Drosophila melanogaster: one gene and its partner. The protein of the gene in region 2 purifies or fractionates together with the protein of the main gene of each other region. This does not show direct contact. Each region holds a gene or a part of one and is shown on either strand. Other genes may lie near its edges.

Evidence for each region.
Region 1: the proteins of CG33172 (region 2) and Trm7-34 purify together in Drosophila melanogaster (affinity purification with western blotting, with the first as the bait; one study listed by BioGRID). This does not show direct contact.

Annotation. Positions count from the first base shown.
Region 1 is NT_033777.3:21,132,234-21,135,988, reverse strand, and holds Trm7-34 (tRNA methyltransferase 7-34), read left to right. Parts: upstream 1-2,107; 5' UTR 2,108-2,163; coding exon 2,164-2,284; intron 2,285-2,339; coding exon 2,340-2,989; intron 2,990-3,044; coding exon 3,045-3,236; 3' UTR 3,237-3,255; downstream 3,256-3,755. Other genes in the region: Usp8 (ubiquitin specific protease 8), read right to left, coding at 1-116, 172-654, 710-872, 932-1,420, 1,484-1,578; Ice2 (uncharacterized protein), read right to left, coding at 3,491-3,755. UniProt on the Drosophila melanogaster protein: Methylates the 2'-O-ribose of nucleotides at position 34 of the tRNA anticodon loop of substrate tRNAs. May require WDR6 for methylation of the nucleotide at position 34 of the anticodon loop of substrate tRNAs. Plays a role in neurogenesis.
Region 2 is NC_004354.4:15,768,059-15,773,800, reverse strand, and holds CG33172 (uncharacterized protein), read right to left. Parts: upstream 4,138-5,742; 5' UTR 4,091-4,137; coding exon 4,033-4,090; intron 3,979-4,032; coding exon 3,247-3,978; intron 3,184-3,246; coding exon 977-3,183; 3' UTR 816-976; downstream 1-815. Other genes in the region: CG43672 (uncharacterized protein), read right to left, coding at 1-472, 546-808; Polr3A (RNA polymerase III subunit A), read right to left, coding at 4,429-4,641, 4,711-5,742. UniProt on the Drosophila melanogaster protein: Together with methyltransferase Trm7-34, methylates the 2'-O-ribose of nucleotides at position 34 of the anticodon loop of substrate tRNAs.

The DNA of each region.
Region 1 (3,755 bases), on a different chromosome or scaffold from region 2:
ATCTTGGATTCTATATTCCTCGTTGCCTCGACCTCCTTTTGCGACAACTGCTGCGTAACATTGTGTAGCTCTTGTATGCGACTTAGTTCTTCTCGCAGACGATTGTTTTCCACGATCTACGACACAAACGAACAATTAATCGAACCTTATAAGGTAATTTATAGATCTTACATAGTCCTGGGCCTTGCTCTCCAACTGTAGGATCCTGAAGTGCAACTCCTGGTCCTCGGTAGCATTCAAACCATCGCCCTCTGCTGCTTGACGCTTCCACATTTTTGAGGCCTTCTCCAACTGCTCATCGTTCTGCTCTGCGCGCTGCAAAAACTCGGCCTGATCACGCATGATCTCAGCAATGGGCTTAGCCGGCGGAGAAGGACGGGAAATTCCCTGTTCATTAACGCGAGTGGCCGCTGGCTTGTTGGCCCGATTGAAGTCTGGACGCGGTCTGAAGTCCTTCGCACTAATATCCTCCTTCATGGTGATGTCGTGGATTGAGGGATACTCGATATCATCGATGGTCTCAATGTCGTTGTTGTTCTGCTGCGGCGCCTGCACACTGGGATTAGTGCAATGGGTCGGGTACATCATAATGAAGTACTCATAACCGCCCTCGACAATTTGAATGGGTGCGCGATACGTCACATCCGGATCCCACTACCAGAAAATAATGATTATATGTAATCTATGGCTAAATACCACCCATACTCACGTTCTTCAGGATGTCCAGAAGGGTTGAAATGGCTGTGTTGGTCGCCGGTTGGGCATCTTTGGTGTTCCAGTCCATAAGAACCACCGAATCCTTGACGGAACGCGATGCCCACGACGCCTTGGCGCTGCTGCTAAGACGAGCCTGCAATCTGCCAGCCGACATTCTGTGTAAATCCAATAAGTTAGTATCCAAATAGCGAGATTATTATAATGGACAACTCACCCTGGCGTTATCAACTCCTCGGGCACATTAAATGCACAGTAGTACGTGAGGTGGGAGGCCTCGTAGTCGGCGCTTGGGCGACAGTCCATAACTAGGACCGATTTCTCCTGCATGCGCCGATACAGATCCTGACAGGTTATCAGCCCAAGTCGGGCGTACTGCGTTGGCTGTGTTATCGGCGAGTCCACACCCGCACGCCCATTGCTAACCAGGTCGGGAGCAATTGGTTCCGGCGCTTGGTGCTGCTGAGCATAACGATGCCGCAGAGAGTTGATAATCTCCTCCAGCGTGTCCATAATGCGGCGATTCGACTCGGTGTCGCCCAGCATCTGGCGCACCGTCGTCTTGTGGCTGGGGTAATCGGATTTTTTGTGAATTGCGGTCAGCATATTGAAGTACTTCATGTAGGTGATGTAGGCCAGTTCCTCGTCGCCATCCAGTCTGTACTCCTCGGCGGTCATGTACAGTTTGCGGGCGGTGTTCAGTAGGCTGCGAAGAATGCCAGGTAAATCAAAACAGCCGCATCAGCACCAAATCGCGGTGTCCACTTACATTTTCATGCCCTTGCTGCGCAGATCCGGAATGATGGACATCTTCTCCAGGTCATCAAGGTTGGAGCTCATATGCAGTTTCTTCAACTTGGCCATTATTCGTTTTTTGTTGTCGGGGCGGGCTACGTTGAATTTGGGAATCGGGATCTCGCCGATTTTCCTGTTCTCATAGCAGGAATTTCTCAATCTGCGGGCTGGGCTGCAACAACACAATCATTTGTTATTTTGCATGAAATTTATCGATAACAAAGAAATAGGATGGCGCTGTCAGAAGTGCAAATTTAGATTGTGCAAATTTAGCCATTTAGCTATTAATATTGAAAATCCAACTAGATATGTATTTTAGCTGTACGTGTTTTATTTCAAATAAACAAATTCAAATATAATGAATATGTAACTCAATATTATGAAGATTAAAGCTAAACTACATTTTGTAGCTATTTCTATGGATTTGGAAACAAAATTGATTCTTTTTCCTAATCTACCATTTAAATATAAAATTATATTTTAACACAAAATGAATGATATATATTTTAAAACTATAAATTCGAGCTCACACTTGCAAACTTTTTAATGTTTTTAATACCAATAAACTCCCAAAGTTGAAGGGAAAACGGCTAAAACGACAGCACTGTAGATGTCGTATCACAGCTGATACCCTTTTGTTTTTATTATTTTTAAATGGGCAGGACTTCGAAGGATAAACGAGACATATTCTACCGCCTGGCCAAGGAGCAGGGATGGCGTGCACGAAGTGCTTTCAAACTGCTCCAGGCGGATGAGACCTTTCAGTTGCTAGAAGGTGCAGATCCAACCGCGTGTTTTTCGGAGCGATTCTAATTGTCCACTTATTTCAGGTCTCACCCGAGCCGTGGACCTTTGCGCCGCTCCTGGCAGCTGGTCACAGGTGCTGGCCAAACGCTTGTACGAGCCTCTGCCGCCAGAGGAACGGGAAAAGGTAAAGATCATCGCCGTAGACCTGCAGGGAATGGCTCCGATCGAAGGAGTCAAACAACTGCGGGCGGACATCAGCAAGGAGTCGACAGCCGAGGCCATAATTGAGTTCTTTGGCGGCGAGAAGGCACAGATTGTTGTTAGCGATGGCGCTCCCGATTCTACTGGAATGCACGACTTTGACTCGTACGTTCAGGGCGAACTACTTCTCTCCGCCCTCAGCATATCCACCTTCATACTGGAAGAGGGAGGCTCCTTCGTGTCCAAGATCTACCGGGCAGACAGGACCAGTCGGTTGTACACTCAGCTCAAGCGGTTCTTTAAGAACGTATGCGTGTTCAAGCCCTCCGCCTCGCGCAACTCCAGCATTGAAGCCTTCGTGGTGGCCCGAGAGTTTTGTCTGCCCGATGGCTACAAGCCTTGCAACCTGACGACCGAATGGCACGATCAACCCGAGTCGTGGGTGGGCAGAAAGAAGGAGAGCCCGCCCGTGGTTCAAGTTCCCTTTGTTGCCTACAAGGGCGAGTTGGACTCGGATCGCACATACGATTTGGTATGTTAATACTATATCTTCGTTTGGTTTAAACCACTAAAATGTTTTGTTTTAGGGCGAGAACTATGTGTATAAAGAGCCAGTGCAGCAACCCTTGACGGCCGCCTATCAGGACATTCTGCAGAAAACGAGCCAAGTGAACATAAAATATGAAGGCATTCGCGTTATTCACGATGAGGAAATGTTGAAGAAATGGCTAGAGAATGATGAGAATAAGTCTGAGAAGTTAGGTGCCTGTGTAACGTAAATAAAAGCTTTAAAAAATGAAAAGTTATGAATATGAGTGTAAATTCTGGTGCATCTCAAAATGTATCAAAACTTTGTTGCTCGCGCCACAAGCACCGCGTTCAATTTTTATTATTCCGATACATAACAATATAAACTTAACTCTTATCCTTACGCCGAGCGGTTAACTCCACTATGGGGATCACCTTTTGGTTTTGTAACAGTTAGTAACTACATCCCTAATAGTAATCAACTTATGCAATCAGAGTGCGGTTTTTACAACGTCATAATCTTCTCCAGCTCTATTTTTTCTTTGTTGGCCGCTGCTGTCTTGCGAGCCCGAGCTCTTTTCTTTTGATCCACCTTACATCGACGTCGAAATTCTCGAGTTTGGGCTTCGCTCCACTTTTTTAAACGTTGCCGTCTTACTGGAGCTTGTCTGGAGGGCTCTGGTATGGGCACCACCACCTTTCGACGCTGGACAGAGCGACCGTTGGCTTTTGCTGGAAATGCACAGGGCAGTAGATGGAGCTCCTCGTGC
Region 2 (5,742 bases):
CATCACGACTTTGGGTAACTTTTCCACCTTGGAAGCCGTAGCTCTCAGGAACTGCATGCTGATGTGGTACTGCAGCGGCACGAAACCCTCGCCCATGTAGTCCGTGTAGCCATCCTCGTCGAACTCGTCTTCCTCGGCGACATCACGATCCATCAGCGTAGTGGTTTCCTTCCAGCTGTCCCCAATCCAAGTGTCCTCGTAGTTGCGCAACTCCGACGGCATGATTATGGCAAAGTTCAGCACGGTGGGCAGACCATTTAGTGACTCATCCACATTCCGGAAGCAGACACTTGCCAAATAATGTTCGGAGGCGGCGTGGATGCGCATATCATTGCAATTCTCAAAGTCGACAATCTTATCTTCGGACATGGAAAGTTTACCCAGGGCATCGCCCATCAGCCGTCGCAGTGCAGCATTTGAGTTGGGTGCGAATGCCACTCGAATATCCGGAATGAATACGTTTGTTGTAAAACTACAAGTGGCGGAAATGAAGTGAATGATATGAGCCATTTCAATATCTAAGATATTAGTACGGTTCTACTTACTTTCGCTGCTTACTTGCCATTTTGGCGCGTCTCTCTTGGATTTTGCCAATGAGTGAGCTCCAGCTGAACTCCAAAAGTTCGGCTTCTGCTCGTATCGAGTAGTCTCTCATATTTGAATCACTCGATGAGCGAATGAATAGCAGAAAAAGGGACGACATCACAGGCAAAACAAGCGACAGAATTAAGACTAGCTTGTTGTGTTTTTGTTTTTGAAAGTTCTTCCAAACCAGCAAGCAAAAGACATGGCAAATTTGGCAAGGCATTTGAATAGGCTCTACATTCACATTTATTTAAAAACAAATACAAAAATTGCCGCCACTAAAGTTACATCTAAACAAATGACAGATAAGGCAGTTTCACTTTTCTATTATTAAACACTAGACAACATAACAAATGTACAAAAGTGCCAATGATACACGAAGGATATTCTCTTAAAGTATATTACTTATGCTCATAGTCTGCAATCCACATCCGTAGAAATACATTCGCTGATGTTCATCCAGGAGCATTCCTTTCACGTCTGCTATGCACGTATAACCAACTCGCTTATATTTATGAGTACTGAGATCTATTCTATAAATCTGACGATCTATGCTGCAGGTATAGGCGAACAATTCGGATGCTGCGACACTTTTGGTAGGACAATGTATTGCCAGGGCATTAACTTGGGCATTGTGAAGACCCAAGTACTCGATTTTTTGTTCTACATTATTGTTATTTAAATTGAGTACCGTGTACTTAATGCTTTCATCATCCCCGCCGGATAGAATGTGTAAAAGATGCCTATCCACATATATATCAATGGTATTTATACCAGTTACGTGCAATTGAAGCTGAAAATATGTCGTTTCTAGGGTACGATCAAAACCGTAGACTTCGCCATTTGTTGTGGATACCAACAGCATTCCCTTGCTCGCAATCCACTGAATGCCCAGTGGACATCTTTGTATGTCTACAAAATGTTTTAGGTCTAGTTGGTTGGGGGTTTCAAGCTCCCATATATAGTGACTTATATTTCCATCACCGCCTGCAACATATATTGAAAAGAGATCCCCATCCGAATGCTGGACAACATCTATGGCCATTAGTCGCGCTTCAATGGTACTCGTTTTGGATGCGGCCACGTTGTGCAGCGTGTGGCTGGATATTTCACTTATCCAGCATTTATTGCTCGCATCTATGCTAAGTTGGCTAATGCACAATTGCGATCGTCCGCCGACGGAGAAAACAAGCCAAGTACTTGAGTCGCCGCCATTCGATTTGTATGGAATCGCCTGCAAACTTCGCACTGTTGAGATATGGGAGTGCATTTCCGCACGCTGAGACAATGAGTCATTGGTCACTTGGGTGACTTTTATGATATTATCATCGCCAGCGGAAAGGATAAAGGGATCGGATTGATTTCTCGGCGTAATGAGTCGAAGGGTATTGCAATTTCGTACGTGCCAGTTATTGGGTTCGATATCCTTAAGCCGATTGTCAACGGCATTGTAGAGCGAGTTGCGATAGAAGTACACACGCTTTTGCTTCACATACGCAATGGAAAGTTGACTATCACCATCACTCAGTCGAAAGTCCCAGCAACGATGGCCTCCGCCGCAGGCCAATTGCAAGAGGATATCATTTCGTCGGGACCAGGCCACAATGTGATTGTCGTTGAAGCCCAAAATCAAGTCATCCGATGGAGATGCTTCGACCCAAGCCAATGGAATGCCCTCACGTTGGCTAACACGTAGTGTTGAGTCAGAGAATCTCACACTAAGGTATTTTAAAAATGCCTCATGACCACCACTCATCACATGCGCATTGTCCGCATTAAGACTGAGCAACTTAAAAAAGTTCGAGCCCATTTTACCGTGTAAATACCGAATTGAGTCCTTCAATTGGAAGTCGTCGCTGGCACTGCTGCGGCAGTAGAGCATCACATGTCCCTCGCGGTTGCCCAATAATAGATATTGCTCTGAAATGAGCAGGGCCGCAGTTATCCACGGCTCGCGGTTATTGAATAGTGCGATGTGCGACTCTATATGCAGCTGGTGGGTTTGCAGTAGCAGACAGTAGCCCAAGTTATCGGACACTAGATAGCGATCTCTGCTTAGGAATTGAAATGACCGTATAGTGCCCTTCATCCTAATGCCATCGAATAGTTGTTCAAAATCATTTGTATTTGTGTTATACCTATGCAGTGTTATGCGCCGATGTCCACAGGTGGCTATAATGTCATCAAATACTTCCAAAACAGTGCGTTTGTACGACGGAAAGTCATTGACCATGAGCCACTTGTTCTCATGCGAAGAATCCGGGGATATTCGGGTGTAATACAAGCGGTTTAAGCTACTCAAACCCACAATTATCTCATTATTGACAAACTTTAGATTTCGCACGAACTCATTTGCATCGCCTAGACTGCTCAATATGGTGGATTCAATTTTGGGTCGATTGAGGACTTCTTTAAGATTTTGCCCGACCAAATTACCCGTTGAACTGGTGCTATAGAGGATTTCCGCGTCTTGGCTGAAGCCTAGCCTCCAAATTGGCGCGCCGAACTGCTGACGACGCTTTAGGATTAATTCGCCAGATGAACTCCAGATGCAGACGTACGAATCCTCACCGCCGCTGGCCACAAATGTACGGTCATCTGCAATGGCAAGGATAGTTATAAAAAATTAGGAAAGATAGTCATATTTCAAGCAAATCTTACCGATTTTAAGTATAACAACGCACATAACACGCGAACTGTGTCCGTAACAACTGAACATGGGCTTTATTTCAGCTGTTGTCCAGTCGCCAGACTTTTGTATATTCCAAAACTTGACCGAACGATCATCCGATGTGGTAACCAATAACTGCGACTGCAAGTCAAACTCAATTGAGTGTATCACTCCATTGTGCGCTTCAATGCGCAAGAGCAAGGGATATGTTTTCATTACAGATTTTGGATCGGATTCTGTGGGAAACTGCGTTTGCCATACCAAAAGTTCTCCAAAGGCATTACCGCTTATGATGGCCAGTTTATTAAAGGAACTCCCATGGAGTTTCGTGTAATAGAGTATGGAACTGTCGGTGCATCGAGCCAGCTCCAAGACAGTGCAATCTGCATTCGACGTTAGATCATATTCCATATAAAGGAGAGCACTGTGCGATGTGTGAAGAACAAATCGTTTGCGATCCTCCGACTCGTTTTCATCTTCCAAAAACAGAGCGGCATTAATCCAATCTCTGGTTTCGCCCTCGTAAACGAGCTGAAAGAGATCGTTTTCGGAGCTGGTTGTACACCTAATCAGGGAGTATTCGTTCTCGCTATATAGCAATAATAATCTTTGCGATTTACGCAAGGAACTCCACGCAAATCCTCGAACCTTTCCCTCACGCAGTTGAACCGGCAACTCGACTTTGGGTTCTGAGCTATATAACACCGCCTGATCGCCATGACCTGTGTATATGATGTTTATTAGAGGGCGTTGCAAGGTTTTGGCAATATACATACCAACCAGGATCCCGTTTGGGGATATTTCCAGACCGAATGCGTCAGAAATCAAAACCATAATTTAATAACAACACGTTGTTTTGATAAACTCAAGCGTTCAGTGTGACCATGTCGTGGCAATTTGAACATAAGCAAATGTGGAACGGCGGAATGTGAACTGCGCGGTTAATTCAAATTTGAATATACTACTAATAATAATATTTTCGTTATTTGCATCAGCAATTTTAAATCGAATTTAATCAAAGCTCCAAAATATAAGAAATACCATCTTTAATTTCCGCAGCTAAGTACAATCTAGGTAAATTTGCTTAACATAGCTAGACAGAACAAATATGTATATACTATTTATTTACAATAATGAAGTTATAAAAGTATAACGTCAAGAAGGCCCGCTTCTTATGTGGTTTTGCTTGGCAACAGATTCAGGGAACTGCAGATGGTGGGCTCAATAGGTGGCACCTGCTTGTCCTCGTGCTGTTGTAGCAACTTGAAGATGCCAGTGCCAATGCACGCTGGCATTCCCAGGATAATGCGCTCCGAAACGCCATTGATGGCATCCGTCTGGCCATAGTAAGCTGCATCAAACAAGTGGTCCGCCGTCTTCTCAAACTGACGTGGCAAAAAAGAAATACATTAATATACATACGTACGGCTTAGCATAGTGAAATCTCTTCTTACCGATGCCAAATTGAAGACACTCTCACGCATTTTGGCCAAGCCGTGTCGCGTGATACCCAACACCTCGCCACGCGCCGTCATTTGGCTGGCCAGGAGCATGATGTGGCGCCAATCGACGCTCATACCGTGTCCCTCCATCACCTCGGTGATCTCGCTCATAATGATGGTTCGGGCAGCTTCGATGCCCAGCGTCTGATAGATTTCGCAAATGTTGTTACTCCTGGTGCGTTTGCCCACCACACCGTACGTGGCGATGACATCGCGAAGTCCATAGCCCTCAATGCACAGCTTATACGTGGGCGGCTGCCGTGCATCATCGACAGCAATAACTGCTCGATTGATATTTGGCAGGCCCGCCACTACGACGTTCTGCAGACTGAGTGCCAGGCGCGCCAACTCTGCATTTATGGTCGACGTTCGCGTGGCTTCCACACGAACCACAATGCGCGATTGGCTGGCAACAACCTCCACCTGCGTCGGCTTGACGCGCATGCGCGACTTCAGAATGCTAAATACAATTGTGTCCAGATCAATGTGTAGGCCGAGTAGCTTAATTCTGGCCATATCGACACCGATCGCCAGGTAGCAGCTGTATGGTCCGCATACGACTTCAACGTACGAGGACAACTCCGCCAAAGTGGTTTTCTCAATGCGCGCCTTGACTTGTCGCGCAAACTCCATGCTATGGCAATTCTCCAGCTCGGCAGTTATGATTGGCGTCGATATGGTTTTCGTCGCATTTATAATCTCAACAATACGTGGTACACCCTGGGTGATGTTCATCGATGCGACACCAGCGAAATGGAAAGTCTTAAGCGTCATCTGGGTGCCCGGCTCGCCAATACTCTGCGCAGCAATGGCACCCACCGCTGTGCCAGGCTCGGTAACAGCTCGATTGTATCGATCATTTATACGGCGCACAAACTGCAGCAGCTGCTCGGTAGTGAGGCACTCAATCTGGTGGCACAGGTCGATACACTTCTCGTAGCGTTTCTGCAATTGCCCAATGCGCTTGGACACTGTGTTGATGTG